Saccharomyces cerevisiae S288C: one gene and its partner. The gene in region 1 interacts genetically with each later gene. Each region holds a gene or a part of one and is shown in the gene's direction. Other genes may lie near its edges.

Region 1 (4,836 bases):
CTTTACTTTTACTTTAAACTATGGCATTACATTCCAGCTTTTCAAGAGTTATTAGTGATTCATTACTTATAAAGTTTTTCCGACCACATTTTGATACTTTGTACCTGATATAGATAAAACAATTACCTTATAAATTGATTCTCTCATATTTATCTTGATGAGAAAACGATTGAGGAGATTTGTGTGTAATTTGGTTCTCGTAACAAATACCATTAAATAATCCTTGACTAGTAATACATACCAAACAAAGAACGATTTGCGGATACTCAGCCGCACGAAAATTTCTAAAATTGAACTAAATCCTTTAGGATATATAAAAGGGCACAAAGTGAGAACGTAAAAACAGCATTATAAAGATATTGTAATGAAGAAATTTATGCTCATTTAGTATGTGGAAATACCTTCATAGATCAGTCAAAAATGAAGGGACCGTAGAACGGCTCACTAACCTCAACTTATTTACCAATCACCGTTTCAAGTTTTATTCTACATTAAAGGAACAAAGTTTTTGGAGAATACCATTCAAAAGAAGGAGCAAATTACAGAAATGGGTGTTATCGACAGGCATCGTAAGTTTCATCGCTTTTAACATATGGTGGGTTTATTGGCCACATCATACTTTTCCCAAACCCGTTGCTAAAATATTAAGGAAGGGGTTACATTCAGAAATTAAGAAAGAAGGTGCGAACTACCAAAAAAGCCTTGAGTACTACCTCGAAGCTTTAGAAGAATGTAAAGCCGAAAACGTGGATCTACTTTCGGATGAATATACCGGTATTGAAATCAAAATCGGAGAAATGTATGAGAAATTACATATGTATAATGATGCTACAGCTTTATATGGAGACATGCTGAAAAAGTTCTATAATGAACTAAGCAAAACTACTGATAAGTCAACGAAGAGAAAATTCTTTTTGTTGAAAAGAGACCTTCAAATTTTGGTAAGGTTCAATGAAATAAATAAAGACTCTGAAACTAATGCAACGTTATTGATAATGCACCTTTTATTAGCTCAACGAGAATTTTTGGAGAACTCACCGGAGTTCAAAAATGTTCTTTCCAAATCAGAACTTTTAAACAACCAACAGCTTGACTGGAAGAATTTCAAGGGTCTACCATTTATTGGTAAATCCAAACCTGACTACCAAATGCATTTAAACTCTAAAAGAAAACAGGAGTTGAAGATAAAGGAACCTGAAAGCGAACAATGCGTTTTCATGAAAGAACTTCTGACTGCAAGAGATTTATATACTCGTTACTGTCTCAATCGGAGTAATCTTTCTGGGGCCTTGAATAGCAAAATAACAACACTAGAATGGATGTTACTAGCGGATAGTCCTCTGGACGACATCTTGCTTGCCCAGGCAGAGCTCGGGTCGATTTTTTATCTAAATTCAGAGAAGTTCGAAGGAAGTCTATACGCTATTGATAATGAACCGTACAAAAAATCAGAACCTTTAGAACTTATTCGGTCCAGGTTACAAGAAAACCAGAATTCCTGCTTACAGTACTCGGCTGACTGCTATAAAAGTATTATCAGCTTTGCCAATGAAAATCAATATCCAAAAGTTGCAATGGAAAGCGAAATGGATCAGAGAATACTTAAGGCATTATCCCTTGCTCACTACGGTATTGGTGTGATAAATTTGCATAAGGGACGCTTGAGGGCATCTAAGAAGGAACTTAAAAAGGCTATTCGTATTTCAGAGATGATTAGATTTAATGAACTCATTGAGGAAGCTCAACGTGAACTTAAAAAGGTTGATGGTACGCCTATATAAATCTTACATTTGTATATATATTCTTCTAAATTTTCATCAATATGTTGAAATGCCGAAAGATGTCGATTCCTCATTGGATATGGCGAATTTTACGTCACCGCCTCATGAACAAAAGTGAGAAAAATACATATATAGCGTCAAAATCAAAACAAATGATGAATTTACTTGCAAAGACTAAATGTGTAAGGGAATAGGTATCAGAACATTAAGTGAAGGCGCCGAAAGTAATATCAGTAATGCTTCGCACGATAATATTGAAAGCCGGGTCCAATGCCTCCATACCGTCACCTTCCCGCCAAAATAAGTTACTCAGGTTCTTCGCCACAGCCGGCGCAGTCTCTAGGACCAGTCCAGGAAGCATTAAGAAGATTTTCGACGACAATTCATATTGGAGAAATATTAATGGTCAGGATGCTAATAATAGCAAGATCTCACAATATCTTTTTAAAAAAAATAAAACCGGACTTTTCAAGAACCCTTATTTGACTTCTCCAGATGGTTTGCGTAAGTTTAGCCAGGTTTCTTTGCAGCAAGCACAAGAACTTCTCGACAAAATGAGGAATGATTTTAGCGAGAGTGGTAAATTAACCTATATTATGAACCTGGACAGATTAAGCGATACGCTATGTCGAGTTATTGATTTGTGCGAGTTTATTAGGTCAACACATCCAGATGATGCATTTGTTAGGGCAGCACAAGATTGCCATGAACAAATGTTTGAATTCATGAATGTCTTGAACACTGATGTTTCCTTATGTAACATACTAAAGTCGGTTTTAAACAATCCAGAAGTGTCTTCGAAGTTAAGCGCAGAAGAACTTAAAGTTGGTAAAATATTATTGGATGATTTTGAAAAGTCAGGAATCTATATGAATCCAGATGTTAGAGAAAAGTTTATCCAGTTATCTCAGGAAATCAGTTTAGTAGGTCAAGAATTCATCAACCATACAGACTATCCTGGTTCAAATTCTGTGAAGATACCATGTAAAGATCTGGATAATAGTAAAGTGAGTACATTTCTATTGAAGCAATTAAATAAAGATGTAAAAGGGCAAAATTATAAAGTACCTACATTTGGGTATGCAGCTTATGCATTATTAAAAAGTTGTGAAAATGAGATGGTAAGAAAAAAGTTGTGGACCGCTCTTCACAGTTGTTCTGACAAACAGGTTAAAAGATTGAGTCACTTAATCAAACTAAGGGCAATCTTGGCTAATTTAATGCACAAAACAAGTTACGCAGAGTATCAATTGGAAGGTAAAATGGCAAAGAATCCGAAAGATGTTCAAGATTTTATTTTGACGTTAATGAACAATACTATAGAGAAGACAGCAAATGAATTGAAATTTATAGCTGAACTCAAGGCCAAAGATCTTAAGAAGCCGTTGACTACAAACACGGACGAAATATTGAAGCTCGTGAGACCATGGGATAGGGATTACTATACTGGCAAATATTTCCAGCTCAACCCGTCAAACTCTCCCAATGCCAAAGAAATAAGCTATTATTTTACATTAGGAAATGTCATTCAGGGCTTGTCAGATTTGTTTCAGCAAATATATGGTATTAGATTAGAGCCAGCAATTACTGATGAGGGAGAAACATGGTCCCCAGACGTGAGAAGATTGAATGTGATATCTGAAGAGGAAGGAATCATCGGCATAATTTATTGTGATTTATTCGAACGAAATGGCAAGACTTCAAATCCGGCTCATTTCACAGTTTGTTGCTCTAGGCAAATATATCCCAGTGAAACTGATTTCTCAACCATCCAAGTCGGTGAGAATCCAGACGGTACCTACTTTCAATTACCTGTTATTTCTTTGGTGTGTAATTTTTCTCCAATACTAATCGCTTCTAAAAAAAGTCTTTGTTTTTTGCAGCTTAGTGAAGTTGAAACGCTCTTCCATGAAATGGGACATGCAATGCACTCAATGTTAGGGAGAACTCATATGCAAAACATAAGTGGTACAAGATGTGCTACTGATTTTGTAGAGTTACCAAGTATCCTGATGGAGCACTTCGCTAAGGATATACGAATTCTGACAAAGATTGGCAAACATTACGGGACTGGAGAAACAATTCAGGCTGATATGTTACAGCGCTTCATGAAAAGCACTAACTTCCTTCAAAATTGTGAAACATACTCTCAAGCAAAGATGGCTATGCTGGATCAATCATTTCATGATGAAAAAATCATTTCTGATATTGATAACTTTGACGTTGTGGAAAACTATCAAGCACTAGAACGACGTTTAAAGGTCCTAGTGGACGATCAGAGTAATTGGTGTGGAAGATTCGGCCATTTATTTGGATACGGGGCAACTTATTACAGCTACTTATTTGATAGGACGATAGCTTCTAAAATCTGGTACGCCCTTTTCGAGGATGATCCGTACAGTCGAAAAAATGGTGATAAATTTAAAAAGCATTTACTAAAATGGGGAGGGCTAAAAGACCCTTGGAAATGTATCGCTGATGTTTTAGAATGCCCCATGCTAGAGAAAGGCGGTAGCGATGCGATGGAATTTATAGCACAGTCTCACAAGTCTTAGAGAACAGAGTAGGTGCTTAATCGAGGCCATTATTTGCCAACGACGTTTATTCATAGCTGAAGAATTCTTTTCACCAAGAAAAAAAAATTGCATAATCTTATAAATACTAAGACCCATTATTTAAAAGGGTCTGAAAACCATCGATCATATTGCCTGAAAAACGAACATGCATATGTTAATTAACGCTTTACAAACAGAGCATAATTATTGTTATTCTTTTATATACTTCATGTCTTATTGTCACATCTACTGTTTTCGCGTACAGAATGATATTATGAGTTTCAAATCTTGTAGTAATATCAGAAAGAGCTCTTTTCAGTGAAGAAAGCCTACGATATAAAGAACACTTTCCCAATGACTAAGCGTTATCTGTTGTAGCTTTATTGTCATAATACACCAATTATCTGGGTACGAACTCACTTCCTGCAGCTTAGTTTTTTTTTTTGCTCAGCTTCCCACTGCACTTAAAAAACAGTTTCAACTATGCCACCATTGGATAA
Region 2 (4,898 bases), on another chromosome or scaffold:
TCTTTCCACGGATGGCCCAATTTTCCATCTGTTTTGTAGATCCGGATTAGTTTCCCCATCGTATATGTCTTCCTTAACAAACTCCTTCTCATTTCCGTCTTTTAAGTCATTGTTAAAATATATGGATCCAAATGCATTTAATTTCAATGACACTAACTTCGACTGAAAATCAGAAACTTGTTTAATAACATTGTCATATTTTTTTTGATTGGAGGAACCGTCTTCAATCAATGGATCCCAATCTTTCATCAAGAGTTCTCCTTCGATAAATTCTTGTAAGACAAAAGGCTGCCTTACAGGGTTCAAAGAATTGACACCATAACAAAAAATCTTGGGAACTTTGATGCCCAACTTCAAGTCAGCAAAATCCATGGTTGCTACTTCACTTCTTATTCTGTAGGATAGAGTGTTTTCATTTTCCAGCGGATAAGGAATCCTCAAGATAAATGCCTTGTTCAAATTCGTGTCGACCTTGTATATTCTGTGATGTTTACCTTCGTGAATACTAGATAATGTGGTTACTTGAACTTTTTCATTTGGGTTGATTTTACCTATATTCTTTGGTACAACGTTATTGACCAATGAAACGGTCAAGTTCTTGTTAAACACTGGTGGTAAGATCTTACCGTCGGGGGCCTTAGCCATTTCATTAGATTGAATGTAGATGTCATTGAGAATGCGATTTAAACCTTCAATCGAAAACTTCGTGAATCTTTTTTCCTTTTCTTGCTTATCATTTTTAAGCCATGAGCCCCACGTATATTTGAAAAAGGCATCTCTCTTTGGATCATTGTCATTCGTTAGCTTGGTAAAAACTTCGTTTGGCTTATTGGAGATAAATCTCTTGGTGGCGGCGACGGTGATACATTTAATTGCACCCACTCTTTTCGAAGCTCCTACTACACACCTTCTGGAATGGCCAGCAACAGTGTACCTAATCATGCTTGGTCTTCGTATTGCTGTCTTGCTTGCTAAACAGCTTTTGCTACTTCTTCTTCGCTGATGAGAAAAGGGAGTCTACTAAATACAGTTCGGCTTAAAGTGTCGCTGGTCAGCAATCGGCCCGAAAATACATTGAACATTTGAAATTACCATGTTTCAAAACGAATATTTATTATAATTATTACTAGTAAAAGTTATACATAAGAAGGGAATAATACAAAGAAACGGGAAACAGCTAAATGTAGTATATAGCCGAAAGATGTGGACATATCCCAACAAATCGTCTTATGAGATCCTTTTTTTGTTTTATATTTTTTTTTTTTAGCGGGTATAAACGTATCATTTATATATTTTATTCTTTCCTTTAACTCTCAAAATTTGAGCAATTAGGTTACTGTGGTTCACGTGATTCAAGTGTGCACATTGCTGCTATGCTTTGTAGTATTATCCATAGAGTTTAGGGAGGGGGAATGGTCGGAGAGTGGGTAATTTGCATTGTCTAATGGAGCAGAATCAGCGTTACTTTTCTGGAAATAAAACTGGTCCGATAACGAAGTAGTAGAATCAGAGGTGAGATTGGAGTTGGAAGTGGTGTTGAGTTTGTAAAACTTTTCGGTTTGATCATGCGATACCTTGTATTTGTCATCCTTGTCATTCTTCTTTTTTTTGTTCTTCTTTTTGTTCTTAGGGTCTACCATATTGCTAGTCTTCGGGGTAGGAGACTTTGTTCCATTATTGTGATCATATTGTTTTCGAACCATGGAATTCAATAAATTAAGTGAATATTTCGGAATCCCATCTCTTTTGACATTAATCCCCTGAATACCATCCTTCGTGGCAATCATGGAGGCACCTGATGTGATGGAGCAACCTGAGTTCGTTCTCGTTATCCTATCTTCACCAGAGGCAATATTGGAAGGGCTCATTGATCTCTGATCTAAGTCCAGGTTAGTAGACCTGTTATTAGTGTAAATGGACTGATCATAGAGAGAGATGGCAGATGCAACATCTTTTGAGCTTATTGAATGTGATGAATCAGGCATTATTAACTATTCGCTTCCTTTTCTTATCTCAGCAGTTTGTGTTTTTTATTCTTATTGTTATTATCCCTTTTAACTATATATGCATAAGCTAAGTTAAATATTAAAATATTTATATATAAACGTTACAGGGCGTGTGAACACATTTGAAAAAATGCTGGAAGGTAATGGTAGATATAAGAATTGGAATAACAGGTTGATAGAGAATCGCCAAGCTAGAGAGTTCTGACAAGCGGCAAGGGGGAAGGATGAGACGCAGATACGAAAGCCGCACCATTAAACCGTAAAGAGAGAAAAATAAAGAATGACTTATTTCTCGGAAAGGCCAAATGCAATTATGCAACACGCACACATTCACACTCACACTCACACATAAACTTTGACTGAAACCAAAACTGTTGTGAGTAATAGCCTTTCTTGTTCATAAAATAGTACAAGATACAGTAAATATATATCAACTCACCTGGTATAGGGATCACTTACTGCACTGCAAAAGTGGATCGTTTGCGCAAGAAACTCCACCAATTCTAAAGAATATAATAGAAAAAGCTAATAGGAAAAGTGGTCATTTTCTGTTGATATGTTACATAGGATAAACCCAGTACGGTTTTCTATGCAATCTTGCCAAAGATACTTCTCGAAGTTGGTATCGCCATTGGAACAGCATAAAAGTAATACTTTTACTAATAGAGTCAGAATCCCCATTGAGGCAGGCCAACCACTGCATGAGACAAGGCCGTTCCTTATAAAGTCGGGCGAGTTGACACCAGGCATTTCAGCCTTGGAATACTATGAAAGAAGAATTAGGTTGGCGGAAACATTGCCTCCCAAAAGTTGTGTGATTTTAGCTGGTAACGATATCCAATTTGCATCTGGAGCAGTATTTTATCCGTTCCAACAGGAAAATGACCTGTTTTATCTTAGTGGTTGGAATGAACCTAATTCGGTCATGATTTTAGAAAAGCCAACGGATAGTTTAAGTGATACAATTTTCCACATGCTGGTTCCGCCAAAGGATGCGTTTGCTGAAAAGTGGGAAGGATTTAGGTCTGGGGTTTATGGTGTTCAAGAAATTTTCAATGCCGATGAATCTGCTTCCATTAACGATTTGTCTAAATATTTGCCCAAAATAATTAACAGGAATGATTTCATCTATTTTGATATGCTATCAACTTCTAATCCCAGTTCGTCCAATTTTAAACACATCAAGAGCCTGTTAGATGGCAGTGGGAATAGCAATCGATCATTGAATTCCATTGCGAATAAGACCATCAAACCCATCAGTAAAAGAATTGCAGAGTTCCGTAAGATCAAGTCCCCTCAAGAGTTGAGAATTATGAGGAGAGCTGGCCAAATATCAGGAAGATCGTTCAATCAAGCCTTTGCTAAAAGATTTAGGAATGAGAGAACTTTAGATTCCTTTCTTCATTACAAGTTTATATCCGGTGGTTGCGATAAGGACGCATATATCCCCGTGGTCGCTACTGGTTCGAATTCTTTGTGTATCCATTACACAAGAAACGATGATGTGATGTTTGACGACGAAATGGTTCTTGTAGACGCTGCTGGCTCCTTGGGTGGTTATTGTGCTGATATTTCGAGAACGTGGCCCAATAGTGGGAAATTCACTGATGCACAAAGAGATCTCTACGAAGCTGTATTAAATGTTCAGCGTGATTGCATTAAGTTATGTAAAGCTAGCAATAACTATTCCCTCCACGACATCCATGAAAAGAGTATCACACTCATGAAACAGGAATTGAAAAACTTGGGCATAGATAAAGTCTCCGGTTGGAATGTTGAAAAATTGTATCCGCACTATATTGGACACAATTTAGGTCTAGATGTTCACGATGTGCCTAAAGTTTCCAGGTACGAACCATTAAAGGTTGGACAAGTTATTACTATTGAACCGGGTTTATATATTCCTAACGAGGAATCATTTCCATCTTACTTTAGAAACGTCGGAATAAGAATTGAAGATGACATAGCCATTGGTGAAGATACTTACACTAATTTAACTGTTGAAGCAGTGAAAGAAATTGACGATTTAGAAAATGTCATGCAAAATGGCTTATCTACAAAATTCGAGGAGGACCAAGTGGCACCACTGTAATGTTATTGCTAAATTGAGTACACCCTGTATATACAGATACATAACTTATCGATTTAAGGTCTTTTAATATTAAACGGAAAATTCAAAAAAAAAAAAATTTACTGAAAATATCTTGAGATACTTTTCTTCAGCTTTCTTTTTGTTTTTTTCCTCTTCTTCTTGGGCACTGCTCTTTAGTTTTTATTTTTAGTTACGGCAAAATAAAGATGGGTCTAAAAATTACAAAAGGACAGCTGAGAACCAAGGATCTGAATCAATCATCCTCAAAGTCATCGCAGTCTTCAAGAATAGGTGTAGACACTTGTATATTTACTAGAATGCTACCCCGAATAAACACTGCAATTAATCTCACAGAGCATCTGCTGAGAAGATCTTTTCATTCACTGACAAATCTACAGAAAACTCAAGTAAAAGAAAGACTACATGAGCTAGAACGTCACGGTTTCATATTAAATAAAACATCCAAACAATTGGAAAGGATAAATTCTAAGAAAAGAAGACAATTGAAAAAACTGCAAAAGACAGCATACCCCAAGGATCAAGCTTTTCATATTCTTCGAAAATTTCATAAAATAAATAATGAGGCATTAGCAGATACAAAACTGGGGCCAACTAGCCAAAGCGACTTGAAGTTCCTATCCTTAACCAAAGATAAGAGACTCTTTTATACCATACTAGGCGTCAATGGAGAACAGTTACGTGATTCCAAATTAATCGCCAATGATGTTCAAAAATTTTTGAAAAGAGGACAACTGGAAAAAGCTGTCTTTTTGGCTAGGCTAGCTAAAAAGAAAGGCGTC

What was found. A genetic interaction does not mean that the proteins touch.
Region 2: mutations in OCT1 (region 1) and ICP55 impair growth when combined (synthetic growth defect), as found in Saccharomyces cerevisiae (one study listed by BioGRID).

Annotation. Positions count from the first base shown.
Region 1 is NC_001143.9:188,624-193,459, reverse strand, and holds OCT1 (metalloendopeptidase), read left to right. Parts: upstream 1-2,017; coding exon 2,018-4,336; downstream 4,337-4,836. Other genes in the region: RCI50 (Rci50p), read left to right, coding at 390-1,781; APL2 (Apl2p), read left to right, coding at 4,820-4,836. UniProt on the Saccharomyces cerevisiae protein: Cleaves proteins, imported into the mitochondrion, to their mature size.
Region 2 is NC_001137.3:316,007-320,904, reverse strand, and holds ICP55 (aminopeptidase), read left to right. Parts: upstream 1-2,562; coding exon 2,563-4,098; downstream 4,099-4,898. Other genes in the region: AIM9 (Aim9p), read right to left, coding at 1-942; YER079W (uncharacterized protein), read right to left, coding at 1,353-1,985; YER078W-A (uncharacterized protein), read right to left, coding at 2,095-2,259; MRX1 (Mrx1p), read left to right, coding at 4,305-4,898. UniProt on the Saccharomyces cerevisiae protein: Aminopeptidase which cleaves preprotein intermediates that carry destabilizing N-ter amino acid residues after the mitochondrial processing peptidase (MPP) cleavage site and is thus critical for stabilization of the mitochondrial proteome.